2 linked regions of the Mytilus edulis genome follow. The protein of the gene in region 1 binds, or shares a complex with, the protein of each later gene. Links are inferred from orthologs where the notes say so. Each region holds a gene or a part of one and is shown on either strand. Other genes may lie near its edges. The genes, in order: eukaryotic translation initiation factor 3 subunit J-A-like and eukaryotic translation initiation factor 3 subunit L-like.

Region 1 (16,572 bases):
TGCGGATGGTTTAAAGGAAGATATGACCTTTAATCCGGAAGAGGGACAAAATGTGATGTACAGGCCGAATCCCGCGATGAATAAAGGCACTGCTGTTTTCAGTACAATATATTTTAGGAAACTGGAGTTATCGAAAATATTTCATCGTCTACTGCCGGCAAAGTTTATAAAGTGACAGATCAAATTACCGGATACAAATTAGATTTAAATCATCATCATCAAATAAAAAGATGTCATAAGAATGAAATAACTATTTAGTCTTAGCTGCATAGTTGTTTTTTGTTAGTGGCTTTGAACTAGCTGTTAGTAACTGCGAGTACTCTCGGATCAGTACTTGGTGTCTTTTTCTTTTGCTAAGGGATTTACTAGTTTGTATGATGAATCGGTTACACATGCACAATGCACAGATAAGAAAATGCTTATTTTTAAGGGACACATCATTTCATGATCTTGAAGTTTGTATTAAGGTTTTTGAATCATCCTTAATTAACAAAGTTTTATGTTTATGTTATGATTTGGTGGACTATTGTAGAATGTTTATTTTCACAAATGTTTATACACATTCTTCCGTTGTTATATATTTCCATTTGTTAAAGACAAGTCATTGGTCGTATATGTACTGCATTGTTTTCCATTTGCACAAAATTTACCATAGATTTGGAAACAGCAAAAATCCGACATAGATTAGGAAATTACAAAACTTGCCATAGATTTAGGATTGTAAAAAATCTGCCATAGATTTGGGATGACATGTCATATTTGCCATAGATTAGGAATCTGCCATATATTTGGAACCTACCATAGATTTGAGCCCTACATACATGCAGACTGGCGTCTTAAAATTTAAATAATACTTTTAAATAACTGATTGATTTTGCAACTTGGCTTTTAATTATATCAACTTTAAATGGCATCATTATGAAACAACATTTTTCATAACCATTGTACACAGTATGAGTAAACATACTTTTAAAATAATGTAAAATAAGTTTGAAACAACTGTTATAAATATCATATTCTTACTTCAAAAGTTGTAATTTTATTTTTTATAGCTTCACCAAACTTGTCAAAACTTTCTTCATCTTCTGGGAACATTCCATCTATACCTGAACCTTTATTAATACCTAAAATGCAAAATATACACACAATTAAAAATGGAATTTAGAAATTTGAATAGTTTGAACTAACAATGACCACTGCCCTTTTCTCGATCTTGATATCTATATCACTAATGGAAAGCTGAATACTAAAATTTATGATAAAAGGGATGATTTTTCATTTCCTATCGTTAATTATCCGTTTTTAGATGGTGACGTTCCCTTGTCACCATCTTACGGTGTTTATATATCTCAACTTGTACGATTCGCTCGTGTATGTAACAATGTTTTCCATTTTAACGAGAGAAATTTATGTATTACTGAAAAATTATTACACCAGGGTTTTCGATATCACAAACTAGTCAAAACATTTACTAAATTTTACCATCGGTATAAAGACATCATTCGTAAATATAGCTCAACATGCAGACTTCTAATCATTCAGGTATTTCACATCCAATTTTTTATGGTAATATTCTTTATAAAGCACAAAGGTGTCAGTATTCACCTCAGAAACTTACAAAACCTTTGAATAGACTTATTAAGAAGGGATATAATTACGATACTGTTGTCAAGTCATTAAAGATTGCATATTTTGGCGTTAATATTGAGTCACTGATAAGGTCTTTGCATCGGAACTAAACACATTTATTCTAAAAACAGTTGTTGGCATGACACGGGTTATGTTCTTCTCATATATGTTATGATGGTATGATACTAAACCCCTAACGGGAAGGATTGTGCCTGATGTTCATATGATGAAATCATAATCTTTCAGTCAGTTTAGTTGAAGTCTCGAGCTGGCATGTCAGTTAAGTGCTAGTAGTCTGTTGTTATTTATGTATTATTGTCATTTTGTTTATTTTCTTTGGTTACATCTTCTGACATCAGACTCGGATTTCTCTTGAACTGAATTTTAATGTGCATATTGTTATGAGTTTACTTTACTACATTGGTTAGAGGTATAGGGGGAGGGTTGAGATCTCACAAACATGTTTAACCCCGCCGCATTTTTGCGCCTGTCCCAAGTCAGGAGCCTCTGGCCTATGTTAGTCTTGTATTATTTCAATTTTAGTTTCTTGTGTACAATTTGGAAATTAGTATGGCGTTCATTATCACTGGACTAGTATATATTTGTTTAGGGGCCAGCTGAAGGACGCCTCCGGGTGCGGGAATTTCTCGCTACATTGAAGACCTGTTGGTGACCCTCTGCTGTTGTTTTTTATTTGGTCGGGTTGTTGTCTCTTTGACACATTCCCCATTTCCATTCTCAATTTTATTAATAAATCTAGTGACCACAGATACCTTAACTTGCATAACTGATTGTTGATCAACGTAATTTTCAGCACAAGCTACTTGATGGCCATGAATTTATATTGACGGAGGAAGCCAGGGTAACAAGAACCATAGTCTTTGGCAGGAACACTAGTCACCCTAGTCAAATAAGCCTGAAGTCAACACACCTTGACAAGAGCAAGCTCCCAACAAAAAGTCTGTATTGACAGGCAAATGAGCACAATAGATGAAAAACTATTACCACTCGGCCCTCCAACACTGACATAAAAATAAATTTTCAGTCAATACCAAAACTGAAAAAATCAAATTATTAAATTGATGTGTATTATATCTTCCACAGCAATATTAAAAATTTTAAGATAAGCAAACTGGTACTTTCATTATGACCTGGAAACCACAGATGGATTTTCCAACATATGCATCATATATCACCTTTTTGAAGCAAGTATTAAAATTGGAGAATGGTTTCAATTGACCTCCACTAACCAACCAATTATGGGGGACAAAGTACAGATTTTATCCAAAAATCAAGATTATGATGAAATTTCATACCATGAATTGTCTTATTTTTTAAACTTTTACATTTGATTACATAACCAGTAAGCTTGTATGTTGTCTATTTTAGCATCCATGACATTGACATTTGACCTACTGATCTGAAAATAAATAGGTTCTTCCTTTCCCTTTGCTTTTGTATAAAACTTTCATGTTAATCAAACAATAGCAACTCAATTAATCATCTGAAATCTTTCTTTTCATTTTTAGTATTAACAGCAAACTTAATCTCAATCCATTTATAGACAACTTCCTCTTTCCAATATCGTCCAACCATTCCCGTTTGAGTAAGACATGCGAAAGTTAATATCTGGTAAACATTTGATTCAGAACCTAAAGAGGTAAAGATATCAAAGCCATGACAATGTGCTCCTGCCATATATTTTTTCCGGGGAGATCAACAAGATGAAAAGTGGATATCTTTTCTTTACATACATTGCCTTGAATGTTATTTGTTTTCTATCAAATAAGATGTTCCCTCCTGTTGAGTACAAAGCAAAAATGATTAAATTGTCAAAGTCAGACACTCTAACCTACAACAACTTATTTGAGAAAAAACGTATAATCTGTTAGACGTGAAGCCTTCTAGCCTCTAAAATAATTACCAAAAGCTTCTTTTGCTAACTGTAAATCTGATTCTTCTTGTAATCGCTGCTTTTTCAATTTATCTGCAATTTCCTCTTCTGGTGTTAATTTCCTATTTTTTTCTTGTTCCTGAAATTAACATGTACCCATAAAATCATCACTACAAAGCATTATTTAACACTGATTTTAAACTTGAAAGTTTGAGGAAACTGAAATCGGAAGTTTCTTAAAAATATTTTAAATTTTTCATCTATAACTTTACACTATTAGATTTATACCAAAAAAAAATCCTATTTCTTCAGTTAATGGTTTGCCTGCCTACCCTTTTTGATAGTGTTGAGCAAGACACTTAGAAAAGGTGTATAAAATTATTTCAGCTGAATGGTCATTAATCAACTAAAAAAAACATAACCACATCTTGGTATACATTTTTCACAATATCTAGCTTTCTATATAAAGTTTTTACAAGAAATTGTTTTTCAAATGACCATATGATGCAATAATTGGCAGGCCAATACAATATTTTGTTCTAGTCATGTTTAGTGAAAATGTGTCTTTACTATTGCAAAAGTTATAAGAATAAACCTGTTATTGTGCTATGCTTACCATGTATTGCATTTCAAACTATCAGAAGAAAGGAAATAGGTATCTTACAGAGATTTTATAACTAAACACAGGTTAGTAACAATATTAAAATTTAAAGTATGGGCTAACAGGTAGTAGGTACCTATCAGAAAGTTCTGAAATGTGTGACAAGTTCTAATTATTGATCAAGCAACTTGGAAGACACTGTTTAGAGTATCAACCAGACTGTAATTTACTGTTACAATTTGGCCAAACAATATATAAATGGCCATTAAATAAAGAGAAATAAGTTAAAATTACAGCTTCTTCTGCAGCAAGTTTGGCAGCTTGTTTTTCTGCTATTCTGTCAGCTAATTTCTTTTTCTTTCTCTGAAAAGGCTTCCCTTCTGAAAGAAATGATGTATTATATCAGAAAAATTCTAATTTCCTAGCTTTTTACAGGGGTTTCACATTTCTGTGCTTATTGTAGATTCAATCTAGTTCACTATCTCTAGATAAGGTTTTTGATGGAAAACAATGTGATGGTTGTGGTTCATGCACATATAAGACTTGTTCTATTTTGTAACAAGAACTGGATCATGTGTTGATTTGTCTATTTTTTTCTTCAGTCAGGCATTGGTGGTTTGTACTATCCCATATTTTTCTGTTAGGCCACACCAATTTAATTTCTTGTTCTACAGATTTTTGAACTCCAAAAATTGGGGCGAGCGAGCAATTTGAAAATTTTAATAAAAAAATATTTAATTTGCAAATTTTTGAGGCGAAGCTTAAAAAGTAAAGGCGAGCGATTATAATTTTTTTTTGTAAACATAAAATAGTAGGTTTTGACTATATTAAAACTTGATTTATCACTTGTACCTTGACATATCTTTAATTTATGAAGTATTTTTTCCCTGTTCAACAAGAAATAATTGAATAATTAAATCTGGTCTATGTATGTGTGACTGACAATGAGACAATTCTCCATCCAAGTCATAATCAGGTTCAGAACAACCCCTTAATGTTATGAATATCCCTTTTATGAGGGGTCAATATAAGTTATAATATATTTATTTTGTAAAAACACTTTGAGTACAAAAGGGGTAATATTTTCCCAAAGAACTATAATATCTATATGGTATTAAATGGTCAAAACATGTCCAAAAATTTAACAGTTTTATATTATTTAAAATAAGTGGACCTCTCTTTTAAAAGTCGTTTAAAATATAATGTATTTCTCCTCTTTTTGAGTAAAAAAATTCTAAAGTTTCAAAGGTTTTGTATAGTAGCACTATACAGTTTTGTATAGATGCACTATAAAAATCTTTAGTATTTCTGTTTTCTTTTCTACAACAGTAAACATGGTTAAATGACCCCTTCAAGGTCCTTGTCTGAGGGATTACCTGATAATAACAAACATAGGTCAAAGTACGGCCTTTTACACAGAGATTTGATCCAGACCAAACAGCAAGGTATAAGGGACCACAACTTAGTATTGTACACAATTCGAACAGGAAAACCAACGATCTAATTTATATTTCCAAACGGGAAAATACCAATGAACCACACCAACAAACGATAACTGCTGAACGACAGGTCCCTGAATCAATCAGGACCAGTGCACAAACCTGCAGCAGGTATGACCGTCAGCATACATTATAATTGCAGTTGAAGGCAAATCCTTCAGAAGTTCTTTGTACTTTATTTTAACTACGAACATTTTTTGATAGGGAATATAAGTCTGGGGGAAAGAAACCAATGTTTTGTTCTGTACAGGTGTTTCCACTGTTATATATTTATATCGGAGCACTCCCGCTTGAAACAAATATTCTCACAGATATTTAGTGTCGTGAGGTGCTTATAGGTTTAAAATCGTTATATAAAGGTTATACTATGATTTTAAAAACAAATGTTGAGATCTTTTTATAATATTTACAAAAAAAAAACGGTATGGGAAATGGACATGATTACATTTCCGGATGCAGGAAGCAAGAATATAATAAAAATAATAAAAATCTGTTTTGAAAAAAATAGGAGCGGGCGGGTCCGTCGAACAAGATTAAATTGGTGTGGCCTTATCCTTTAATTTAATAATTTTAAGTTCATTTTCTCATAGGCATGCATTATCCCGTTTTTTTAAATGACCATAGTGCAGTTCAAATTGGCTACAGTGTGTATTTTTATTAATAGGACAAATCAACATACCCTGATCTTTTTCTTCTGTCTTCTTTTCTTCATCATCGTCATCCTCCCAATTATCCTGTAAACAAAAGTTTTAATTTGTATTGAGCGCATTATAACTTATACAATTACCAGATAAGAACATTTTAATTGTCATTTTTTTTCTGACCAACACCCAAAAGGAAACCATTTGTCATTCTAAATATTTCATATGTCACATTTGAAATTTAATTAGGAACAGCTGGTTAATCATATATCAGAATCCCTTAAGAAAATATCCCAGGATTATTACAGTGTGATCACTTCAAAGGTAGGTGGTTTTTCTTTTCGCGATTTATGAATGGAATGTGAAAAACTATATCTCAAGTGAACACGATTGATAGTTAAGATTATTTTAACCGATAACCGCTACGAATTTCAGCTGACAGCGAGTATAGGCAAAATGAAACAGCTGTCACGTGTAAAGGATTGATCCAGGAAGGATCCAGTAATGATGAGCAATAGATTTAATATGTTAAATTAAGATTCCAAATCACGACTACGTTTAATTGTCTTCTAAACAAAGAATGAAGAAAACCATGTAATTTGGTAAAAAAAATCGTATAAACCTTGACATCATCTTCATCCTCCCCTTCCCACTGATCCGTTGTCTTCACAGGTACTTCTGGCTCAAAATCATCGGCATCTACAAAATATGAAATAAATAAATCATAAAATTCATTTAAAATTGTAATTAAGAACTTAGTAAGTCATAAATATGTTCTCCACATGTTTACCCCATGCGTCAGACATCTTGAAGTTCTAGAAACTAAAAATAGAAATTATTTGCGCGGGAATGCAATTTCTTTGGAGGTAATAAAATAATTCTTATGAGTTACAATATTATTTGATATTTTTCGTATAATCTTAAAATTATTTCAATACATTATTTTGAAAAATATTTATTTAATTATTTTAAACTGGTTTCACGAAAATAGAATTCTGAAAGGATAAATTACTTCACGCTGACAGGAAACCAGAATATCCAAGGTGCGTGACTGCTTTGTTTACAAATGGATGACAAACTGAAGAAGTGACTAAGTCGCTTAATATTTATTCCTGTTTAAAAACATATACAGAATCAATAAGAGTATGACATATTTTCATTTCACTTTTACGATAAAGTTTATATAATTGCTACCCTTGTCAGTATATTTGGTTAATGAATCTACAGAAAAACAATAACAAAAAAATGGTCCAGGTTCATTAAATTTTAATGGATGGACTCAAGACGTTTCGGCCATAGATCCGGTTCCTCCTTAGTCGTTTTGGCCATACTTTAAATTTATAGTAAGGGACTAGTTACTTGTAACCCTGACTATAGTATATCTAACAGGGAATTAATCTTATACACTTTAAAGTAAATATTGAGGCATTACACTACAAGCAAACTTAAAATGGTCAAAACATACAGACAACATTATAGCTAATGGTAACAAATCTTAAAAAGAAATTTAAAAACATCATGCCAGAACATCAAAACCCAGGTATATCTGGCACTGGTTCGTTCTAAGCTTGAATATTCATGTTCAGTATGGGACCCTCACACAGTAGTTAAACAAACCTCTAAAATTGAGATGGTCCAAAGACGAGCTGCCAGATATGTCTGTAACAGGTACCATAACATCAGTAGTACTACAGACATGATAAACTCACTAAACTGGCCCACACTACAGGAAAGAAGATTATGCACAAGATTGATAATGTTCTACAAAATAGTACACCAAATCGTAGCAATCCATTCTGCTATCCTCATACCATCAGAAACCCGCACCGTTTCACTTTCAGACACATTTCTACCAAAAAAGATACATATAAATTTTCATTTTTTCTGTACACCATTACTCAGTGGAATTTAATACCAGTCCACAGTTTTATATAATCTGATATTTTAAATTTGTTTTCAGGTTGTATTAGTTTACAGAAATTCACATACATTTAATCTGATATATGTCAAATCTGTTTTCAGGTTGTATTAGTTTAGAGTAATTCACATACATTTAATCTGATATGTCAAATTTGTTTTCAGGTTGTATTATTTTACAGTAATTAATAGAAGTATAGTATGAGTAAACAACCAGTCCCAAAAACAACTGGTACTAAGCCAAAACAGGTAATGCATATGAAGTTAAACTCAGTACTTCACAGCAAGTCTTTATCTGATATTTAATGACTTCCAATTACTAGTTTAATAATATTTGTTGGCCCTGATGTTTTTAAATGGAATTTAATGGATCAATTGAACTTGGAAGCAGATTGTTTTGATGCAGTAGATCGAGCATCTGGGACAAATCAAAGGAATTATTAATTTATTAATTTGAATAAATAATCCTTAAATTCTTAAATTATGGAAAGCAATACTTAAAATTGTTTAACTGATGTTAAGGAGCATTATTATTTGAGAAAAAAAAACCATAAGCACAAACTTGAAATTATAATACTTTGAAACTATTCATACCAGACACTAGACAGTGTTAAAATGTATATTAATATTATCTCCCTTTTTAAGACATGATGTCCTTATATTACAGACAATAGGTGCAGGTAGAGCTTCTCCAGCAGGAAGGGGAGCTCCTTCAGGTAGAGGTTCTCCTGCAGGAAGGGGAGCTCCTTCAGGAAGAGGAAAAGCAGTATTACCACGAGGCATGCAACCTATTGCCATGAAAAAACAAGATGGAATGTTAGTTCCTGAAGGTAAAATTTGTTTGTTTAAATCATTTTACATTGTATCTTGTAAATAAACAATATCTGGTAAGAAATACAAATTTAGATGATATAAACATTGCTTTTTAGTATCTGTTGATTGCTTAGTAGTATTTGGACTCCATGTTTATATGAGAAATGACAAAGAAAATATAACTATCATAATAATACTCCAACTTTGATGTCAGAGAGTATTAAATAGCTTTGAAACTTCTGTGTATTTTGTAGGTATATTTGTGTAATCAGTTATAAGTGAAAAGGAATGATATAAGCTGGAAACTTGTTTCCGGGTCCTCGTTTTGGTCTTAGTGACGATTCAACTTTTATAATATTTTCATGCCAACTAATGTATATGTATTTAAATTGAATAAATCTAAAATCAAATATGCTTACACTTATCATTTGTTAAGATTTGAGCTAGCTTTCTTATCAACGTTATCCATACCAAAGTTTCTGTTTTGATACTTTGTTAGTCTATTAAACCAACCCAAAAATTTCAAGAAATAGATGCCACTAGTAACAAAGAATTATTAAAAAAAACATTATTGAGGCTTTTATGAATATAGCTGTGACTATGAAATTATCTCCCCTAATTGACTTAATTAATTCTGGGGAAAACTTGCTTATGACAAACCATATTTACATCAAATTCACATTTATTATTAAATACCAATCACTCTTGATTGTTTCTAGGATATACCATGAGAAAAATAGAACCAGCCAAGAACTATGATGTTGTATCATTTGCCAGAGCCATGAATCAAGATTTTGCTCCGAGACTAAAGAAGTTATTTGATCCAGAAGTTGAAGCTGCCTTAACTGCTCAGAAAACAGGTAAAATCAGAATTATCTCCCTTATTTTATTTTATGGATTATTTCTTGGTTTTTTTGGTCATTGTGGTGAATCTGATTTAGAATTATAGTTCTTTTAAGTAATGTCACTTAAATAGGTAATTTCATTCAAGCAGGCAGGTAGTGGCTTGATCTGCAAAAACTTTATAAAAAAATAAAAAATAAAAAAAAATAAAAAAAATTTGTTTTATTCATTTAATCCTTAAAATTTTGAATTTGATTTAATTCAGGAATCTATATTGGATGGAGATGTCCAGAGTTTAAACATGATTGTCAAAGGGTAAATGATTATTCCAAATGTTTCTGTGGTCATCTGTTAAATGGACATGCAAATTACACAGGTATGATGTATAATATGTATTTACAATTAGAGTTGAAATAGAAAACTCAAGTTACCAGAAGGATCAAATTCATGTTATTTTTTAATTTTGCATTATATAACACTTGAGCTAAAGTATTATCTATGTACAAAATATCTACAACTGTATCATTATTCGTGAATAATTTCTTATATTTGTTAATTTGAAGAATATACAAATGAAATTTTCCTGGAGCATGGCAAATAATCAAATATTGAAATTTATTTAATTAAGAAAACCTGAAAATGAAAGAATGGGTTTTTTTTTCTTACATCACATTGTAACATACAAAGTTATAATCTTTAAATTCAAGGCCATATTTTGCCGAAAGTGAACTTGATCTTTTTGCACTTCATTGTTACTGTTCATATTTACATTAGCATAAAACATTATTACAGTGACCTGTGTTTGTACCATCAGCGACCTACGTGTATACCATACCTTCTTACTCTTTATTTTACTTCTAATGTTTTAGGAAAGAGTGTACAGGTACCATGTCGACAAGGGGGGTGTAAGTGTAAAGGTTTTGCTTGGATTCCTTCACGTCCTGAGGATGTAGGCGAATTCTGGCATCAACGTAGAAGAGATTTTGATCCTAGTACATGGAGAGCTAAATGTCGTTGTAAACACACACATGAAGAACATGAACCAACAGGGATGAGAAGATGTAGATCTAGAGGTTTGTTCCAATACTGACTGAGGATTTAACATTCTAAAAGTAATTTAGGTTTTCTTATGTACCTTAATAAAGATAAGAACAACTCTGCATGTGTTGAGAAGATGGGTAAATCTTTCATGATTCAAACTTCTGTTTCACTAGTTATCTAGTGGAGAGTTGTCTCATTCGCAATCATACCACATCTTCCATTTTTTATATATAAATCTTTCATGGTACATCCATACATCTGAACTTCTATTTTTTTGTATTGTGGCAATTATCGAACCATACAATTGTTATACTGGTAAGTCTGTTTTCTAGTGTAGTATGATATCCTCTTAACAACTATACTGTGCAGTATGAGTATAGTCATATTTATAAGATTTTAAGCACACTACTTTTTCAGGATGTTCTTGTGGCCATTTTGATTCTAACTTTCTGTGTGCTGCTTGTGATAACCATTGGGAGAGACATGACACTTTCTTTGAAACAGAAGATATCAGAAGACAAGATGGGCTTCCTGTTGGTCAGTATTCTATTTTGAGACTAACTGCAAACCAACTAATTTTCAGTTGAAATTCATTTAAGCCATGTTTGAATTTAGAAAAAATAATGCAAATATAAATTGTACTGAATGTGTCAAACTTTGATCTCCTCTTATACGAGATGAAAAATTTCAAGACAAGACACAACAATTTATTACAACTTAGGCACATGTATGTTGCTACACTAGGATAATAATTATACATTTATAATAACATAACTATACATTTGCATGCAAGACACACAATAAATACATTAACGATATCATATAATAGTATTGAAATATACCATAATAGGTTGAGTTTTTGCAATATTTTTAAGTTTAACCTGATTTTTTTTAGTTTAATACTAACTGAAAAAATGCATTGTAACAGTCTGCTAAAATCTTAGTCACGAACAAAAAGTCAATGAAATAACTAAGTTTACAGAAAATAAATACCATTTATTTTTTAATAGAATGGAATTCCATTCTGTAAATATGAAAAACACCATATTTTTTATCATTCTGAGCCTAAAGTGTTCTTTTTTATCACTTTCTATTAATTATGATTATATATATTTACAGGAACTGACTATATACCATTTGCTGAAATGCCAGATCTGAGAAATATAGCTCTGACAGGAGATGAAAATGATGATTCTAAATATTTAGCCTTGACCCAAGGTGAAGGGTCAATACCACAATCCAATAGACCAATGGGAAACGATACACCAGTGAACTTTGGCGGAAATAAAAGTGGATTTAAACCTGTCTATGATTGATTTATATTAAGATTAATTGCAAACTGTTTTTTGTCCTATGTAACAGGTAGAAGGCAACTGCTGAATCTCAAAAATGAACAAATTTATGGAAATAATATAAGTTTAAAACCAAAACCTTGCTAATAGTATTAATTCCTTTTTAATGAGAGGGAAGACAGAAAGTAAGGAGTGTAACAATTTTCAATGTTATCCTTATAAAAAAATAATGATTTTAAGAACTAAAATCATTTATTCCTTAGGGAAACACAATAGAAAAAAATGATTTCTACAAAGTGATTTGTCTGTGATGTCTGCAGAACAATACAAAACTATTGGTCCTGAGTGGTAACTAGGTGAACATAAGCTGATAAAATATTAACTATTTCTCTTGACGTATTATATCGTTTATAGATAAAATATTGACTATTTCTCTTGAAGTATTGTATCGTTTATAGAAAATTGAGAAAATGTCGGTGAAAATTGTCTATGTAATCTTTATATTGTTCATGAATGTAAGGATCTGATCTAATGTTATTATTTTATTTCAAATGTTAACTCTAATCTTGTTATTTTTTTGGTTCTGTGTTTATACAATTCTAAGTATCTGTATTTTTTCCAGACAGAATGATTATCAACCCATAAGTTGAACTATATTATTTAGTATAATATAAACAATTGAAAAGACCATAATTATACTTCGTTTACTTGTTGAATCTGTTTCTTTGCAGAAGATCCTAAAATGTTTGATTTTATGTCATTTATAACATAACAAATAACAATATGATCTTTAAATATAAATCTTCAACTGGCTGAAAAACATATACCTAAAAATTAAATTCGTTCATGACATTTAGGTTGTTTAAATGTGATATTATATTCTGTGATAGATGTCTTGCCAAATCTGTGATATTTTAAACTCATTATAGAGCTTTCTTGTTTTAAAGTAGTTGTATATTGAGCACCTATATATCTTTGAGTACTTGACAATTATATTTGTCAGGTATATACATTTATTTCATGCACATGCTTTTTATTTATTAATTTTTTATGTTTACTATGCTATTATTTCCCCTGTCAAATCTTTTAAGTGCAATTCTGAGATTTTATATTAAAATCTGATTTGATGAATTTTTATACAGATCATAATCTTACAAATTATATCCGGTTAAAGTCTTTTCCTTAATAGTCAACATTTTTGAAAGAACTGATCCTTTTATTGTGCTGTTGTTTTTTTCAAACTTTAAACATTATCTCTCAGGAATGTTTCATGCAGAAAAGTGTCAAAATTCAGCTTCCATTTTTTTAAAGTTTGAAACATTACACATGCAACTTGTGTGTTAAATACACATAATATTTATTCACTGCAAAACACTGCTTTATTATCTTTATACAGATTTTACATTGTTATTATTAAAGTAGTTATTTACATTTTTTATTAAAATCTTTGAAAAAAATATTGTTAATCTATTTTCTTTCTTTACATCATGTAGCTGCGAAAACGTAGCTCTTAAGGTCCTTTTGATGATTTTTGATATTTGCGGACCATAGCTCTATGGCAAAAAAAAAAAAAAGGACAATAGAGCTACGTTTTCGCAGCTATACATCATGTTACTTGTATTTACAATGTAGAAGTATATTATTGTTTTTTTTTTACTGTTTTGCACCATTCTCTTTGTGTAATCCATGGTAGTTGTTGTTTACTATTTTGCACCATGCTATGAGAAATCAGTTATATAGCAAGTAATACAAATGATGATCATTGATGAAAACAGCACTTATCTCCCTTATTACATATCAGCCAAAATTAATTCAAACTTAAGTGTATTAATATTTTCATAATAAGGACATGATTACCAGTAATGTTATGCACATAAAAATAAGGAGATGTTGTATGATTGTCAATAAGACAACCATCCACCAGAGGTCAAGAGGTCAAATGATGTAGATGTAAGAAATTTCAGGTCAACACAAGATTTTTACACTATGTATGTATCTAATAGAAATTTAAAGATTGCATCTGCCAAAAACTATACAATTAACAATTCTAGTATTGCTGCTGACAGGAAGAATTTGCTAGACACTTTCAATTAAGTAAGTTGTGACTTACTGTTTTGGATCATGTTACATGTAGACAGTAGTGTATTATTGATTGGTTGTGACTTACTGTTATGTATCATGTTACATGTAGACAGTGGTGTATTGTTGGTTGGTTGTGACTTACTGTTATGTATCATGTTACATGTAGACAGTAGTGTATTATTGATTGGTTGTGACTCACTGTTTTGTACCATGTTACATGTAGACAGTGGTGTATTGTTGGTTGGTTGTGACTTACTGTTATGTATCATGTTACATGTAGACAGTAGTGTATTATTGATTGGTTGTGACTCACTGTTTTGTACCATGTTACATGTAGACAGTGGTGTATTGTTGGTTGGTTGTGACTTACTGTTATGTATCATGTTACATGTAGACAGTAGTGTATTATTGATTGGTTGTGACTCACTGTTTTGTACCATGTTACATGTAGACAGTGGTGTATTGTTGGTTGGTTGTGACTTACTGTTATGTATCATGTTACATGTAGACAGTAGTGTATTATTGATTGGTTGTGACTCACTGTTTTGTACCATGTTACATGTAGACAGTGGTGTATTGTTGGTTGGTTGTGACTTACTGTTATGTATCATGTTACATGTAGACAGTAGTGTATTATTGATTGGTTGTGACTCACTGTTTTGTACCATGTTACATGTAGACAGTGGTGTATTGTTGGTTGGTTGTGACTTACTGTTATGTATCATGTTACATGTAGACAGTAGTGTATTATTGATTGGTTGTGACTCACTGTTTTGTACCATGTTACATGTAGACAGTGTTGCATTATTGGTTGGTTGAGACTTACTGTTTTGTAACATGTAGACAGTGGTGTATTGGTGGTTGGTTGTGACTCACTATTTTGTAACATGTAGACAGGGGTGTATTATTGATTGGTTGTGACTCACTGTTTTGTACCATGTTACATGTAGACAGTGTTGCATTATTGGTTGGTTGAGACTTACTGTTTTGTAACATGTAGGCAGGGGTGTATTATTGATTGGTTGTGACTTTTTGTTTTGTACCATGTTACATGTAGACAGGGGTGTATTATTGGTTGGTTGTGACTCACTATTTTGTAACATGTAGACAGGGGTGTATTATTGGTTGGTTGTGACTCACTGTTTTGTAACATGTAGGCAGGGGTGTATTATTGATTGGTTGTGACTTTTTGTTTTGTACCATGTTACATGTAGGCATTGGTGTATTACTGGTTGGTTGTGACTCACTATTTTGTAACATGTAGGCAGGGGTGTATTATTGATTGGTTGTGACTTTTTGTTTTGTACCATGTTACATGTAGACGGTGGTATATTATTAGTTGGTTGTGACTTACTGTTTTGTTCCATGTTACATGTAGGCAGTGGTGTATACGTTGGTTGATTGTGACCTACTGTTTTGTTCCATGCTACATTTAGATAGTGGTGTATAAGTTGGTTGGTTGTGACTGATTGTTTTGTTCCATTTTACATGTAGACAGTGGTGTATAAGTTTGCTGGTTGTGAATTACTGTTTTGTACTATGCTACATGTAGGCAGTTGTGTATTATTGGTTGGTTGTTGCTAACTCTTTTTTACCATGTTACATGTAGACAGTGGTGTATTATTGGTTTGTTGGGGCTTACTGCTTTGTACCCTGTTACATGTAGACCATGATGTATTATTGGTTGGTTGGTTGAGATTTACTGTTTTGTATCCTGTAACATGTAGGCAGTTTTGTATTATGGGTTGGTTATGACTGTTTTTTTGTTCAACGTTACATGTAGACAGTGTTATATTATTGGTTGGTTGTGACTTACTGTTTTGTACCATGTAAATTTTAGACAATGGTGTATTTTTGGTTGGTTGTGACTTACTGTTTTGTACCATGTTACATGTAGGCAGTGGTGTATTATTGGTTGGTTGTGACTCCCTGGTTTGTTGATTGTGACTAACTGTTTTTTTCCATGTTACATTTAGGTAGTTTTGTTTTATTGGCAGTGGTATATTATTGGTTGGTTGTGACCTACTGTTTTGAACCATGTTACATGTAGACAGCAATGTATTATTGGTTAATTGTGAATGGGTGCTTTGCACCATGTTACATGTAGACAGCGGTGTATTTTTCGTTAATTGTGTCTTACTGTTTTCTACCAAGATACATGAAGGCAGTGTTGTTATTTTTTTGTTGGTTGTGACTTAGTAGTTTGTACCATATTACATGTAAGCAGTGGTGTATTATTGATTGGTTGGTTGTTACTTACTGTTTTTACCATTTTACAGTTGGTTGGTTGTGATTTGATGTTTTACCATGTTGTAGGCAG
Region 2 (16,599 bases), on another chromosome or scaffold:
AAAAAATCAAATAATTTAAGGAGACATTCTGAATACCATAAGGGGAGAGTGAAGTTCAACATTTTTTTATTATCCTAAATTTAAAATTCCAACGTAATCATTTTTTTAAAAGATTATTTAGCGTATTATGGTCATGATGGTACATAGAATTAGTGTGCATGCATGCTGGGACTTTTTGTTCTTGTTGACATCTTTGTCCTTTGGTCTTTACCGAATAGTTGCTCAATAGCAATCATACCACATCTCACTGGCAGATCTTTGTCCTTTGATCTTTACCGAATAGTTGCTCAATAGCAATCATACCACATCTCACTGGCAGATCTTTGTCCTTTGGTCTTTACCGAATAGTTGCTCAATAGCAATCATACCACATCTCACTGGATGGATCTCCTTATTTTTACCATTTATTCTTCATTTACAATATGTGCCTGTCACTAGACTGGCATTTTGTCAAAGATAATTGCTGACTTCAGCTGGATTTAAAACTATTTAATATGGTAGTTCATCTACGGTATCACTAGCCTGTCAAATTGAGGTTGTGACATAGAAACCATAAATGACAGGAGCATTTCAATTCCAATCCTAATTAACTAACTAACTTCAATAAAAACTTACTGCAACAAAACAGCTAAAAGTGTTGAAAGTAGTGTTAATCACCAACAAATAATCAATCAATCTATTTCAGGTAATCTCACTTAGCTCAGATACTGTCTTAAAATCTTTCCATGTTATTTGTTAAACTATGAATATGTAGAAAACATAAAACAAAGTTAATATAATTATATAGCTATGGTTACAAACAGAAAAAGAATAATTTATAGGATGATGTAAAGCAGGTTACATGATGGGTGAAATTTGGCACAAGTTACACTTACTTGTACTCTGGCATATATATGTCTGTAATACAGTTCTTTGTACAATACCAGAAATGTGTGGTCTGAAAAAGGAAGGTTTCTCTAAATACTGACATACATTACAAGAGGTGATTGGGCTGAAATAATTTCTTTGTAGTTCTATGCAGCTTATATCTAATAAATTGTATGTTGTTATAACAGGAGATCTTAACATCGTTCAAGACCGAGAGTTAAAATCATTCCTCAGTAAAGGACCTAAATATCGTCCCCCGTCAATTATTAATTGGAATGAGTGTCGTAATATCATCCACGACTCACTCCATACTTACTGTATGAAATGGATAAAACGGGAAAAAGCTGACAAAAAATCTTTGGACTGTTTTTTTAATTCAGTAATGAAGATAGTTGATATACGTATTCAACATTTTAAAGAACATTTTACTATAAACAATAACCACAATAAACCTATTTCTTGTATCAAACATAAACTAAAAGAACTAGCCAAGGAATTTGTTTTTGTCCCGGCAGATAAAGCTGCTAATAATATTATTATTGTTTGACGTAAATTTTACATTGAGGTTCTGAAAAAGGAAATCACCAATTCACCAACATTCCAACTGACTCCATTTTCAGAAAACGAAATCTGTAACAAACATAAACTTTTAGCCACCGCTTTACAAGCAGAGCCAAATACAATGAAAGTTCCAACTATGTATTGGCTTCCGAAGCTACACAAAACCCCTTACAAATATAGATTTATTTCGTCTTCAAGCCATTGTTCAACTACTAAATTGTCTATTCTTCTTACCAGCACACTTGGTACAATTAAAAACCTGATAATAAATTGTTCAAATAAGGCCTTTGAAAATAGTGGAATAAATTACTTTTGGAGTGTCAAGAACTCGTTGGAAGTACTTGATAAATTGCATGCTTATATTGGTGATTTTGAATCTGTTCAAAGTTTTGATTTTTCTACCCTGTATACCACATTGCCTCACATTCTCATTAAGAAACAATTCACACACCTAATTAAATGGGCATTCAAAAAATCAGAATGTGAATATATATGTTCAAACTCTTTTAGGTCATTTTTTAGTAGCAATAAACAAAAAAACTATGTTAATTGGACATGCTTTGATACTATATATGCCCTTGAATTTTTACTAGATAACATTTTTGTTCGCTTTGGGGATTCCGTATATCGTCAGATTATCGGAATTCCAATGGGGACTAACTGTGCACCACTTATTGCGGACCTGTTTTTGTATTGTTATGAGTTACAATTTATGACAAAAATAAGCAAAGACCCATCGAAACAACATCTGATAAACAAATTTAATAATACTTTCAGATATTTGGATGATATTTTGGCTCTCAATAATGACGACTTCAGTATGTATATTAATGAAATTTATCCTGTTGAACTTACTTTAAATAAAGCTAATACTAACAATGACCACTGCCCTTTTCTCGATCTTGATATCTATATCACTAATGGAAAGCTGAATACTAAAATTTATGATAAAAGGGATGATTTTTCATTTCCTATCGTTAATTATCTGTTTTTAGATGGTGACGTTCCCTTGTCACCATCTTACGGTGTTTATATATCTCAACTTGTACGATTCGCTCGTGTATATAACAATGTTTTAGATTTTAACGAGAGAAATTTATGTATTACTGAAAAATTATTACACCAGGGTTTTCGATATCACAAACTAGTCAAAACATTTACTAAATTTTATCATCGGTATAAAGACATCATTCGTAAATATAGCTCAACATGCAGACTTCTAATACGTTCAGGTATTTCACATCCAATTTTTTATGGTAATATTCTTTATAAAGCACAAAGGTGTCAGTATTCACCTCAGAAACTTACAAAACCTTTGAATAGATTTATTAAGAAGGGATATAATTACGATACTGTTGTCAAGTCATTAAAGATTGCATATTTTGGCGTTAATATTGAGTCACTGATAAGGTCTTTGCATCGGAACTAAACACATTATTTTTTTAAAAACAGTTGTTGGCATGACACGGGTTATGTTCTTCTCATATATGTTATGATGGTATGATACTAAACCCCTAACGGGAAGGATTGTGCCTGATGTTCATATGATGAAATCATAATCTTTCAGTCAGTTTAATTGAAGTCTGGAGCTGGCATGTCAGTTAACTGCTAGTAGTCTGTTGTTATTTATGTATTATTGTCATTTTGTTTATTTTCTTTGGTTACATCTTCTGACATCAGACTCGGATTTCTCTTGAACTGAATTTTAATGTGCGTATTGTTATGCGTTTACTTTACTACATTGGTTAGAGGTATAGGGGGAGGGTTGAGATCTCACAAACATGTTTAACCCCGCCGCATTTTTGCGCCTGTCCCAAGTCAGGAGCCTCTGGCCTTTGTTAGTCTTGTATTATTTTAATTTTAGTTTCTTGTGTACAATTTGGAAATTAGTATGGCGTTCATTATCACTGGACTAGTATATATTTGTTTAGGGGCCAGCTGAAGGACGCCTCCGGGTGCGGGAATTTCTCGCTACATTGGAGACCTGTTGGTGACCCTTTGCTGTTGTTTTTTATTTGGTCGGGTTGTTGTCTCTTTGACACATTCCCCATTTCCATTCTCAATTTTATGGTATATTCTGTAGTGCTTGTTCACTGTAAATGAAAGGACCGAATTTGGCCTCAAATCTCAGTTTCATCTGACGAAAGATTTTCACCACTTTTAAAACACTTAAGTGTCTATTTCATTTGAATCAATTAGTTTAGGTGAAAGATTTTAACTGATTTAGTCATTGAAAACGATCTGATTCAAGCTTAAATATGAAAAAGCTACCAAATATGCCGAAAAATGTCACTTTTCAGATGTTTTTTTGTCAAAAATGAAAGTGGCCGCATCTGTGTTCATCCTCAACCTTTATATATGTTATGTATTATCATCAAATAAAACTTATATTTCAATATTAAGGATGAACACGAATGCCGCCACTTTCGTTTTACACGAAAACCATCTAAAATTTAACTAAAATACTAGAATTGTGAAGATTTCAGTAACTTAGCATGACTTAATGGTGCTAGTGCCCGATATATGTGCATTGTATTTTCAAAAAACAGCCCATATTTATGTAGCAGAAGTATTCTATTGTCCAATAAATAACTAAAAGTTTACATTTTAACAATTTTGTAAAACTGCTATATTTTGGGGCCAAAAAGGGGTCTCACTGGACCTACTCCTTTGTACGATTTTGACAAGAATTTTATACTGCTGTAGACTAACATTTTAAATTGTATGTTTTCTTGGTTGTTAATTTTTTTTTTATATACAATTGTTACGTTTGAAATGTAAATAAGGAGTTCTTTAAACATTCACACATATTTTTCAATGTGATGTATCAAGCTCAAAGATATGTTATTTCTAACAAGGTTCTTATTCTGCATAAGAGTTTAACAACAAAGGAATGAAAAATATAAACTTCTGTTTGCCAATGAATCCACCAACACTGTCTAATGTATTTAAAAAAAACGTTTTGTTATTGACATTCATGAATCATAACATCTTTAATTGCACTGGATAAGCATACATGATTTACCAAGCATACTAAAAACAACATCATACAGTTTATTTCTACAAATCTTTACCATTTTGCACTATGGGAGCAATTATTTCTGATTCTGGCCAAGGAGTTGTCTTGAAGAATCTGTCTGTCAGCTTGTTGAATCTAAATTGTACATAAATCAAATCAGTTGTATATTAAGAAGATTCTTTTGTGTAAAACTTTAATGATGGTTAGCACTCAAAATAAGCTTTGGGCAGGAATAAGCACATAGCTGTTTGGCCTTATGAACTGTTCCTAGACATAAGAGGGTGGTTAAGGGTTATTTTCGTGCAACATGTTTTGCCATTTTTATTTCATGTGCAGCCGTGAAAAAAGTTCTTTATTCACTGTGTTTCGTGAAATTGGTAAAAAGATCAATGTGCAAGAAATTTTAAATTGTTCTTTCTTCCGTGCAAATACCCCCCCTTTACATCCCTCATATAAGTACAGTATTAACTTGGCAAATTAAGCGATAAACTGCAGGATAGCTTTGATAATTGGTGTACATAATGGTGATAAAAGTCCATCTACTTAAACAATTGCAAAGTACCAAATCAATATTTACCTTATATTTACATTTGTTTAAGATGAATTAATTTCATTTCATCACCTGAACTGATAAATTACATCTTTTTAAAAATAGAATTGAAATTGAACATGTTGAGAAAGAAGCTAGAATTTGGCTTAACACCTGCATGGTTTATATGCAGTAAGACATGTAAGAGACATACCCATTTTCATATGCATTTTGAATTTCATATAGATTCTGGTCATTTATAGCCTTCTGGAATACCATAAGGAAATTCTTGATGACATCTGGTACTATATACGAGGACGTCTGTTGGGCATACTGTCTTTCATATTCCAAATCTTGGCGTGGATCACCTTTATAAAAAATATAACATTGTTCTGTCAAATCATTTACCTTAATTAGAAAAAAATTTGGTAAAAAAAATTGCACTAACATAGAGGAATAGTGTACCTCACAGTAAATCATAGAACACTTTCAAGCTCATCCAACATTACTTACTGCTAGGACAAATGTTCATCAATGTTAGTGCAATAAATATATAAAATTCTTTATTTTGACTGATCTTCAAGACATGAGTACAATTTTATTTACCATAGTGATATCAGTCACCAAAGTTTAAGAATCTTTTAAATATAGTTTAATTATTAAATGATCACACATGGGGGACACTTAATGTAGAAATCCTATTTAACATGTTTAACATAGTAACATACCTGTGTGTGCATCATAATCAGTGGCACCTGGTTGAGGATATGCTGGATAATACTGAAATAAAAAGAAATTTTTTGAGTAATCACTCCAATAAATAATCAGTTTTAAATTAAATTATGCATTGTATAGACATGAATGTTTTGTTTAATATCAGTTGGTTAAAGAGCTCTTAAAAGAGCTTATCTTATGTTCCTTGTTATTATGTATATATGCAACCCAACATTAAATAAAGATTACTTTACTTTACAAGACAGCAAGATTCATGTGGACCCTTTGGCTAAAATGGCTGCCTTTTCACCTTAAAATTTATTTTGGGTGCCGACATATCTGAGTATCTGGATTTTTTTGAAGGCCTAATATACTCTAGATAAATAAAATTCAGATGTACATTTGTGTTTCATTTTTTAGAAAATTAAAAACAGTTAAGTTAACTGGATTTTGCACTGCACTCTTTTCATTTCTCCAGAAGGTGCCACTGTCATGACTGTTAACAAAGTTCAGAAAGAGGTTTAAGAACTTCCCTCACAAGTAATAATTGAAGTGAACTGTATTGATTGCCATGGGCAATAGAGGGGGGAAAGATACAGTACTTGACAATAATTGGCGATATAAACTGTGAACCTGAGTGGACCATACCAAATGAAACTCAGGTGTTTATTATTAATTTTATCATCTTCTGCAGGGACGAAAAAAAGTGCATTGCAAAAAATAGTTATCTTTAAAATTTTCTAAAGCATAAAATCCATTTTAATCAAACTTACAATGCCTTAAAACTTTTCTTAGTCATTTAGTCTGTACTTGAGAGTAAATGTAATTTCAACTACATGTATTTGAAGGAACTGAATTAGATTTTAATTTCTTCTAGTTGTCTGCCCATAGACCGTTATTTGTATTGCTGCGCTTCATGGGATATAGCCATTCAGTACGACAGGGCCGACTCGATTAGACGTGTTTCCCAGTTATTTTTTTTTATCTTGCTTAGGTGAATTTATTTGATGTTATATTTAATGTTTTAATTTCAGTAGTATTTATAAATTACTGACTATATTTTGTCGACATGATATTATGTATCATAATGTGAAATTAAAATCAGCACATGGCACTATCGTGTGGGTATTCAATTTGAACTTCAGTTTGGTTTTTATTAGTCTTATGTGTATAGAGGTAGTCTATGGACGTTTGTAATTGTAGAAGAAATTTTGATTTTAAAACACAGCCATTTCAGCAAAATGGTCCAGATGAACCTTATTAGTGCACTTTTTCAGTGATAGGATGATAGAATTTACTGTTAGCCCAACTTGGAAAGCTAGCTATGAATGATTATGACATCAGATATTGGTGTGTTAGGCAGCATTTTGAAGGTAATTAATGTAGATTTACGATATACATATATCAAGTTTAAGGGGGATGGACAACCACAGAAGCAAAATAAAATGAAAGTTCTTGATCAAGTTTCATTTCTCAAAAATGATTTGGGTACCTTGTGTTATATAAAGTACATGTACAAATGTATATAAATGTACTGTAGGTAATTTTTTTTCGGAGACAAGTGTCTGTAATCCTTTGTGAGGATATACAATGTCAATTTCTCATGTTTGGGATGAATAAAAATAATAAAATACTCTAAAAACCAATAAATGGAAATCACTAGTTTAAGCTGGAACAAATAATGGATTATCTTCTGGTCAACAGATCGAGTCTATTTATAGATTTATAGAGAAGCCGGGCTGTCAACTGGTCTGGCAATGAGTTCAACAATATGATGGATTATCATGTATTGATCGAATCAGGAATGCCATTGAAAAACATATAACATATACAAACGACTTGTGTAGATTCTATATACAAAAGTTCATATTAAAAACATTCATATTTACTTCAGGAGGAGCAAAAGATGCTGGTGGTTCGTCACTCCACATGTTGGAAAAAATCTCCGATAGAGTTGTCTGCCCTAGAAGAACGAAAAGAAAAAGAAAACAAAGTCGGACATCGGAGTAGGGGGACAACTCGTATCTTTTCCAACTCGTACTTTTAATACTATTAGTCGAACATAATGTTAGGTTAAATTCCTACACACAAACTTCTAGTAATGTATAAGAAAATATAATACTCAGTTTAAAATCAAATATTTAAAGTTACAGTAGTGGAGAAAATTTTCATTCCATGAAATCTGGGACTAATACATATCTGAGGGGGGATAGGAGGGGTCTTGATCCCGAAATCCCGGACTTGAAAAAACGAAATCCCGAGGTCCCGAATTTAAATAAAGCAAATCCCGACATCCCGAAATCCGAAAAAAAGGATTCCCGGATCCCGAAAGGGTCAATCCCGAAATCCCGAGCTTAAAAACACCCGATCCCGGAGTCCCGATAAAGGTCCTATCCCCCCTATATCTTATTTATACGGACAATGATTTGTCAAGGATTTGTGTAGTAAGAAGTAAGTAAGTAAGTAAAACTTTATTTGGATTCGGCATATTGACAAACAATACAAACATAAGCTCTAATGAGCTTTTCACCGAATATAAAAAACATATGCAATAACAAATAAAACAAGGCATGCAGCATGCAATAAATAATAAAAAGCAGCACAAAAAATTAACTCTAAGCAAATAGCATATACAAATGTACATGTATGTTGCAAAATACCAAAACATATATATGAAGCACTATTTTTTTTTTAAATTTGCAGTTTAAAAATTATTTAAAAAAAAAATTATGATTTATAAAGTAAAAATTTCAAATCTTTCAAATTTTAAAATGTAAAAAACAACATTTCAGTTGCAATGCAAGCTGTTAATGCAGCATAGAAAGCATAAATATTGTAACACAAATTATCTACAGGCAGAGCAAAAACATTCTGTTCCACTCCAGGACTGAACAAGACTCTTAAAATGTGAGAAGTTGTTAACAGTCCTGAAATGTTCTGGTAAGCTATTCCATAAAGAAGCAGCAGCAAAACTGAAAGATTTTTTTTCCATATGAGGTAGTTCTTACCTGTGGTATTTCCAAATATCATTGTATCTAAAAGAATATTTAGTGTGTTTAATTTGGAGTAAATTTTGTAAACATACAGGAGCCAAATTATTTAAAATTTTATAAGTCTCACGTGCCATTGTCCTGATGCGTCTTACTTGTAGGGTTGGAACCTTTGCGTTCTCAAGAAGAGTTTCAGAGGATGATAATTAGTCGTCATATACAAATCTTAATGCTCTCTTTTATATTTTTTCAACTTTTTTAGAATTTTTCTCTGTACAAAAATGCCAAGCCAAAGGGCAAAAATTAAAATTACTCAAAATAAAAGTATGAAAAAATGTAAGTTTATTTAATCTGTTTAAAAATGATCCAATTCTCTTGAGAACATTCAGCTGTTGTGATGCCTTTCTACACAAGTTACTATATGTGCATCAAATTTTAGTTGGTAATCAATATCAATTCCAAGTAACTTTACTGTTTCTTCACATGATAAAAAAGATTTTGCTGAATTTGTATAGATGGATTTTTTGCAAAGGTTCTTTTCCCTACAGCAATAACTTGAAATTTATCAGGATTTGCCTGCATCTTATTTTCTTTAAACCAATCAATAAGCACTTGAGTTCAGATTCTAATATGGATATGAGATGGTCATAATCCGGACTACTAAAAGACAGAGTATTGTCGTCCGCATAATTATATAATGTACTATGTTTAACAAAAAAGTATATATCATTTTTGAAGATATTAAATAAAAGGGGCCCAATATAGAACCTTAGGGTACACCTTTTTGGATGTCAGCCCAGCTACTCAGAACACCGTTTACTTTAATTTGCTGTTTTCTAAAAGAAAGATATGATTTTGATAAAGATACTGAATGTGGAGAAACACTATATGCTAGTAATTTATCTAGTAAAATGTCATGAGGTAAGCAGTCAAAAGCTTTTGATAAATCCATAAGAACTGCAGCTTTATATAAGTTTTTGTCTAAGGCTTTACGCCAGTCTTCCAGTAATCTGAGCAACGTAGTCTGACATCCATGTCCTCTACGGAAAGCACATAGATAAGGATTAAAAATGGAATCAAAGAAATCGTATAACTGTATTTCAAATATCTTTTCGTAAAATTTTGAAAAAATAGGTAACACACTGACTGGTCTGTAATTTGATTTCAGTAGTGGGTCGCTCTTTTTATGTAAGGGTGTAACTTGGGTTTCTTTAAGTTTGTCTGAAAATATGCCCGTGTCCACAGTCAAATTTATAAGACTGGTCAGCTGAGGTGCAACGACAGATTTACTTGCTTTAACTATTTTTGCTGATATCTCATCTGCTCCAGTTGCTTTTTTGACATTAACTTTATTTATGATTTTTTCCACTTTTTCTGATGTCACCTTTTGAAATTTAAAATTTGCATCTGTTTTCAAGTGATTTTGTTCATGTATGGCATTTATGCTATGATTGTTTAATGGATCATATATAACATCATTTTCTATCTTCTCAGCAACAGTGGCAACAAATTTATTAAAAATATCTGATAGTATTACATCTTTTGAATTATTTATAATTTTGTTTTCTTCAAATAAAATAGTCTTTTGCCCTTGGGATTGGCATTTTTTTGAAAAGAAAGGTTTGACAGTTTTCCCAAAAATCAGCACTTTTTGATCCCCCAGAACAGCGTTCTAAAAAATATATTTTCATAGATTTCTTTTTTAACTTCTTTACCATATTTCTTACTATACAAATCCTTGATACGGACTAAAATGGTTTCAACATCTAATCATCATTACAAGAAATGTGATTTTTTTTTGCTGCATGGAATTATTTAGCTGTTTTATATATTACATGCTACCAAGGAATTGTATATTTAAATATACAATTCCTTGGTGCTACGTTGCCTTATTTCATATCTTGTGTATAAGTTTTTATTTCCGTAAAGTGTTCATCAAAGATTATGTGTGGTTTTTTTGCTTTGCCGAATCAAATCAAAGCTTTTTATGTCCATGTTTATGCTGCCTATCAAGGCAATTTATCTATATCCATATATATATATGGATATATGTAGCAGAGTTATTTTTATGTTTATAATTTGATATATTGTAATAATCATTTATTTTTATATATACTTACATGAATGCATTCATATTTTGAATATTGAATCTATGAGTTTAAATTTTTACTTGTAAACCTTTATTTCGGGTGTTCACTCTATTGTTCTATGAATATCCACTATACATTTACTTGAATCGTTGTATCTGATTGGTTGTTATTATTTCGCGGTCCGCAAGTTAAGTCTCTTTTGTATTGGAGCTAGTAGATTTCCGCGGGACGATAGCCATGTCAGTCGCTTATAGTTGTGTATCTAACACCTAACAAAGATGTTGTTATACAGAGATACATGGACCTTGAATAAAGGCAACAGTAGTATACCGCTGTTCAAAATCCATAAATCGATTGAGAAAAAAACAAATCCGGGTTGCAAACTAAAACTGAGGGAATCACATCAAATATAAGAGAACTACGACACAACAGAAACACATCACTAAAATTAACACACACAGAAACGAACTATAGTATAAAAATGGCCATTTTCCTGAGCTGGTACAGGACATTTTAAGAAAAAATGGTGGGTTGAACCTGGTTTTGCGGGTAGCCAAACCTCGCGCTTTTATGGCAATGCTAAATATAACATTACAATGACAGCATTATATGACAGGACTACAGTACAAATAAATGCAAGAACATTCAGGACAAAGAAATACACAAATAAACATTGCAATAAGACATTTCGACATGCTAATAGTTATCAAAGAACTACCATATCATCCAGTTTGGATTTCTATAGTCAACTGATAGAGCGGCAATACCATCTGACTTAAATATAGCTGCATCGTGAATATTGTTTCAGTAAAGAAACAACAGCAGCATTCCAATACACACCAAAAATGTAACTACAAAAACAGTGACAGCATGGATCTAAATATTGAAAACTAGATCTTGCACTGCGACAGATGTGTTCGCCGGTAGCAGGCTACAAGTCACAGAGCGCTTCTAATCAACATCGAGACGACATAACCCCTTGAGTTAGTGTGTATTGAATACCTTGCAATTAAACTGTATATATAAATATATAATATTTAATGAGACCACTTCAAGGTGCAAACTTTGGTTCTAAAATTACCAAGGAAATATGCAACATCACTAGTATGACGAAGTCACGAACAACACCGTCTCATCAAATGGACATCACTGAAAGTTACCAAAATAAATACTCGTAAAGCTTGGTAGTGTACAGAAAACATTCAGAAGAAAGATTGGAAGTCACATGATGAAGGTTTTGTCCATGCTAACAACTGTACACGTCATCCGTCAACTGGATTTTCACCACACTTTTTGATGTTCGGAAGACAGCGACGTATACTTATAATTAGTAGATAACATATATACTACTTGGAAAGTTGGCATGTTAGGTACCTTAGAAAATGTTCAGACGAAAGGTTGGAAGTCACATGTTGAAGGTCTTGTCCATGCTTCTGATTGTATACGTCACACGTCAACTGGATTCTCACCATACTTCCTGATTATCTAAAGGCAACCAAAAGCTACTTATAGACATCAATAAGGATATATATACAGTCAGGACAACACTTAAACATAAAGCAAGAGCAACACGAACCCCATTAAACAAAACTAGAGGTGATCTCAGTTGTTCTGGAAGGTTTAACTGATTATTCTCCACATTTGGCACTGTTATTCATGTTAGTATATATAGTTATATATATCTAATTTGGTATGTCGTATTCGATGACAAGAGAAAGGGATTGTGGTAACGACAAATTTAACAGGTCAATAATCATCTGTGAAACAAATATACAAAAAAAAACAGCCAATCAACTTGTAATTGCGTCCGTAATTTTTTTAAAGGGATAATTAAAACTTCACAACTTTAAAATCTTGGTTTATTGCTTCCTAGTAAAAAGTAAAATCCCAAAATTCAAAAAGAAAGTCCCTAATCAAATGGCAATATCAAAAGCTCAAACTGATCAAACGAATGGATAACAACTGGCAAATTCCTGACTTAGTACAGGCATTTTCTTATGTAGACAACGGTGGATTAAACCTGGTAAATGGCAACCCTCTATCAAGGAAATCATGTTGGCAAAATGCAAGCGCTGGATGATAATCCGTATGTAGGCGCTGCTGTTTTTTTATATAACATTTCTAGTCTGGCATTTCCATGATCATTGTGTTGTTATTGACCTTTGACCTGTCAATGCAGGATAAAAGATTATATTTAAAGTAGATTTTCTACTTGGTTAAGGAAAGTTAATTCAGTAGTTTCCAGGATACATTGTATTTCTAGAGACCTTTTCAAACTGTCATTTCAACAAGAAGATTGAGTGAAACATGCTCAGAAATTCGGGAATTTCTGCCTGACTAGACACGAATCCATAGCTAGATATAGGAAGATGTGGTATAAGTGCCAATGAGACAACACTCCATCCAAATAACAATTTATAAAAGTAAACCATTATAGGTCAAGGTACGGTCTTCAACACGGAGCCTTGGCTCACCCCGAACAGCAAGCTATAAAGGGCCCCCAAAATGTGTAATGCCGCTGAAAACCATTCAAACGGGAAAACCAACGGTATAATCTATATAAAAACGAGAAACACGTATGAACTACATAAACAAACGACAACTACTGTACATCAGATTCATGACTTAGGACAGGTGCAAACATTTGCAGCGGGATTAAACGTTTTAATGGTACTAAACCTTCTCCCTTTTCTGAAACAATAGTATAACATCACAACACAGAAAAACACACTATAAAATATCAATTGGAAGGCTTAACTCAATCAAAAAACGCAAATTAACACACAATGAACGAATATAAAATTTGATCTTCGATACGTGAATGCAAATTCATAGTTAATATAATTTATAAGGGATAAATAATTGAGGTCAAAAGTAAATAAACAGGTTTAAACAAAGTCAAAGTAAGATACCACTGTGAAATATTGAACAATTTATAGAAACTCATCACTTTTGAAAAAAGCTGCGTCATATCCTACACAGGTACATGAAAATAGCTTTGTCATTACGTATACTTGATCGTTTGTGTGTATAAAATCTTTCGTTTAGGAATACCAAGAAATTTCTTTAATATCAATAAAACTTAAATTACACTTGGTACATATGGGGTGAATATCAATGTAACAAACTTCAGTTAATTATTTATATGATTTATTTTACACCTAGGACTATATTTTATGTTATCTCTTATTTTCACTAACACCGGTAATCTAGTCAAGCAGACCTTGTTTATCACGTGATTACGCACCTATTGAAATTTAACAGGTGAGTCTCAAATCAGTCGGCACATGATCATTGAGAGTAGCACACGTTTGTGCAGTTGGGTTTGTGGTTTAGATAGCAATTTGGACATTATAATTGTCAGGACAGGACATGGATGTCCAAAGGCTAATTGAAACAACACTCAGGTAAGTTATTTTACTTATATTTTATGGTACATTGAGGTCAATTTGCTGTCGAGATGATATTTCTTGCTCGCGGTCCAAATGTACGGATAATTGCCATATTATTCATATTTATAGATAACGTAAGTAATTTTTGGGTTCAATTATTATTTTGCAGGGGTTTTTAGGCCCGGTTTTAGTGTGCGTTGGCACGTTGCTAATTGTCGACTGGTCGGAGATAATGGTGTCGATGAATTAATGGTGTCGGGGTTAAAAATGGTAACAACTCGGTGATATATTGGTTGGAGTTACAACGCATGGAGGCGGTGATAAATTTATAGTCCGTTTCTATTTATTTGGAGCAAAAAGTCCGTAAAATTATATACATTTTTAGTTGAGAAATCGAGAAGTCCGTGCAGTATTTATGCAGTTTAAAGCAGTTATAGTTTGTTATTCAGCATTATAGTTATTCATACAAATTTAGTGTTCTCTTCAATCAATTTAGAAGCAACCAGATATATGTGAAAATTAGTTAATTCGTCCGTTTAATTATAAAGAGAAATTTAAAGGGGAACAACCCAGTTCATCATTTACATCTACAGTACGTACAACGAGGAACGTATCCGGGCAGTGTGCGGAAAGTGTGCAGGCCGAAATTTGTTTGATTTATGTTTATTTCATGACATTTTGTTTTGTTCCGTGTGTGTTTATTTAGTTACATTTGTGTTCTCATTTCATATTACATTTTTTGTTGAATTTACTTTATTTTGTTTTGTTAATTAAATTTATATTTTAATTTGGTTTTGTATGACATTGGCCACCTGACAATTCCCAAAGAACTTACTTCGTTACAATGGTGGCAGCGGTGGGATTGTCACTGTGCCAATTGTTATATTAGAAAATATTGTCAGATAGACAACAGGGATTTTTTTTTTGTTATATATTTTGTTTGAACTTTTATGTTTTATTATTTGTTTACATTATCATTTTATTATTATTTGTATTGTACAGTATGGCAGGAAGTGTATTACCCGCTTGGGTTCCGGAGATGTTAGAGAAGGGTGAAACTTTGGAGACATGTTTAGAAATGTTGAAAAACATGCAGTCTACTGAGAGAGAAGCTAGAATGGAAGAGAGAGAGATGAGAAAGATAGAGATGGAAAAAGAGGTACGTTTAAAAGAGTTAGAGCTTAGAGAGAAAGAAATGGCTCAAGGTGTTGCACCACCACAGACACATTCAAGTTTGAAGTCGAAACTTCCTAAATTTAAGGAAGGTGAAGACCCAGATGTATTTTTAAGGTCCTTTGAGAAATTGGTGGTTTTGCATAAAATACCCAAGTCTGAGTGGGCCCTTAGATTAGTCCCTTTACTTTGTGGGAAAGCTTTAGAGGCATTTTCTAGATTGTCTGAAGAGGACAGTAAAAATTATGATAAAATTAAATCTGCTATTTTATGTAGATACGAGCTTACTGCCGAGGCATACAGGGAGAAGTTCAGAAGTGAACGCCAGTCTTCGGATGAGTCATTTAAGGAATTTTCAGTCAGACTAGTAGGTTTTCTTAGACATTGGTTGGAGCGTGAGTTGATAGGCACTGATTTTGATAGATTTGTTGATTTAGTTACTAGAGAACAGTTAATGGTAAGTTGTAATAAAGAGCTCAAACTTTGGATCAAGGAACAGAAACCGAAAACAATTGATGAGTTGGTAGACAAAGCTGAGGCTTTTCAGCAAGCACATAAAGATGAACAGGTAAGTTCTAAATCAGTTGGGAGAATTGACACCGACCAATCTAAACAACAAGGTAGATATAACCAATCAAAAGGAAGACAACCTGACACTAGGACTTGTTTTATTTGTAAGAACATTGGTCATATAGCTACGCACTGTCCTACAAGGACGAACCGGTCAAAGGAGGATAATTTTAAGCCAGGTAAGTTTGGTTTGTGCATACAGAGTAGACAGGAGTATAGAGTAGATGATTATATTAGTGGTGTGACTGTTAAGTTGCCTGGTGTTTCATGTAATGGCGACAAGGTACAGGTACATGGACTTGATATAGTAGAAGGTAAGATCGATAGTGATAAAATCTCAGTTTTGAGAGATACAGGTTGTTCTACTGTATTTGTTCATAGTAGGTTTACTAACCCAGATTGTCTTACAGGTCAGACTAGAGACATATGTTTAGCAGATGGTTCAGTGAAGCAGTGTCCAGAAGTATGTATTAATATTTCTACTCCTTATATTTCAGGTGATATTATTGCATTGATCTTAGATACACCGTTTGCAGATCTGATTGTTGGAAACTATGTGAACACATCAGTACCACATAGTGTCGATGGTTTATCAGTGACTAGTGGAGAAGATATTTTTGTTTCAGGTGACTCAGTCCCATGTCATGCAGTTGAGACTCGATCTCGAAAGAAGAAGCAGGATGAAGCAGATATT

The links.
Region 2: eukaryotic translation initiation factor 3 subunit J-A-like (region 1) and eukaryotic translation initiation factor 3 subunit L-like share a complex: the UniProt entries of both Drosophila melanogaster proteins name them as parts of the eukaryotic translation initiation factor 3 (eIF-3) complex. The link is inferred for Mytilus edulis from reciprocal best matches to the Drosophila melanogaster genes eIF3j and eIF3l.

What each region holds. Positions count from the first base shown.
Region 1 is NC_092347.1:85,256,685-85,273,256, reverse strand, and holds the start of eukaryotic translation initiation factor 3 subunit J-A-like, read right to left. Parts: upstream 7,130-16,572; 5' UTR 7,071-7,129; coding exon 7,055-7,070; intron 6,964-7,054; coding exon 6,887-6,963; intron 6,358-6,886; coding exon 6,303-6,357; intron 4,505-6,302; coding exon 4,419-4,504; intron 3,663-4,418; coding exon 3,554-3,662; intron 1,125-3,553; coding exon 1,024-1,124; intron 1-1,023. Other genes in the region: protein FAM221B-like, read left to right, coding at 8,383-8,430, 8,849-9,011, 9,714-9,854, 10,103-10,213, 10,707-10,910, 11,296-11,415, 11,998-12,194. UniProt on the Drosophila melanogaster protein: Component of the eukaryotic translation initiation factor 3 (eIF-3) complex, which is involved in protein synthesis of a specialized repertoire of mRNAs and, together with other initiation factors, stimulates binding of mRNA and methionyl-tRNAi to the 40S ribosome.
Region 2 is NC_092352.1:17,622,430-17,639,028, forward strand, and holds the start of eukaryotic translation initiation factor 3 subunit L-like, read right to left. Parts: upstream 7,683-16,599; 5' UTR 7,622-7,682; coding exon 7,580-7,621; intron 5,757-7,579; coding exon 5,705-5,756; intron 5,345-5,704; coding exon 5,191-5,344; intron 4,583-5,190; coding exon 4,503-4,582; intron 938-4,502; coding exon 876-937; intron 1-875. Other genes in the region: uncharacterized protein, read left to right, coding at 15,166-16,599. UniProt on the Drosophila melanogaster protein: Component of the eukaryotic translation initiation factor 3 (eIF-3) complex, which is involved in protein synthesis of a specialized repertoire of mRNAs and, together with other initiation factors, stimulates binding of mRNA and methionyl-tRNAi to the 40S ribosome.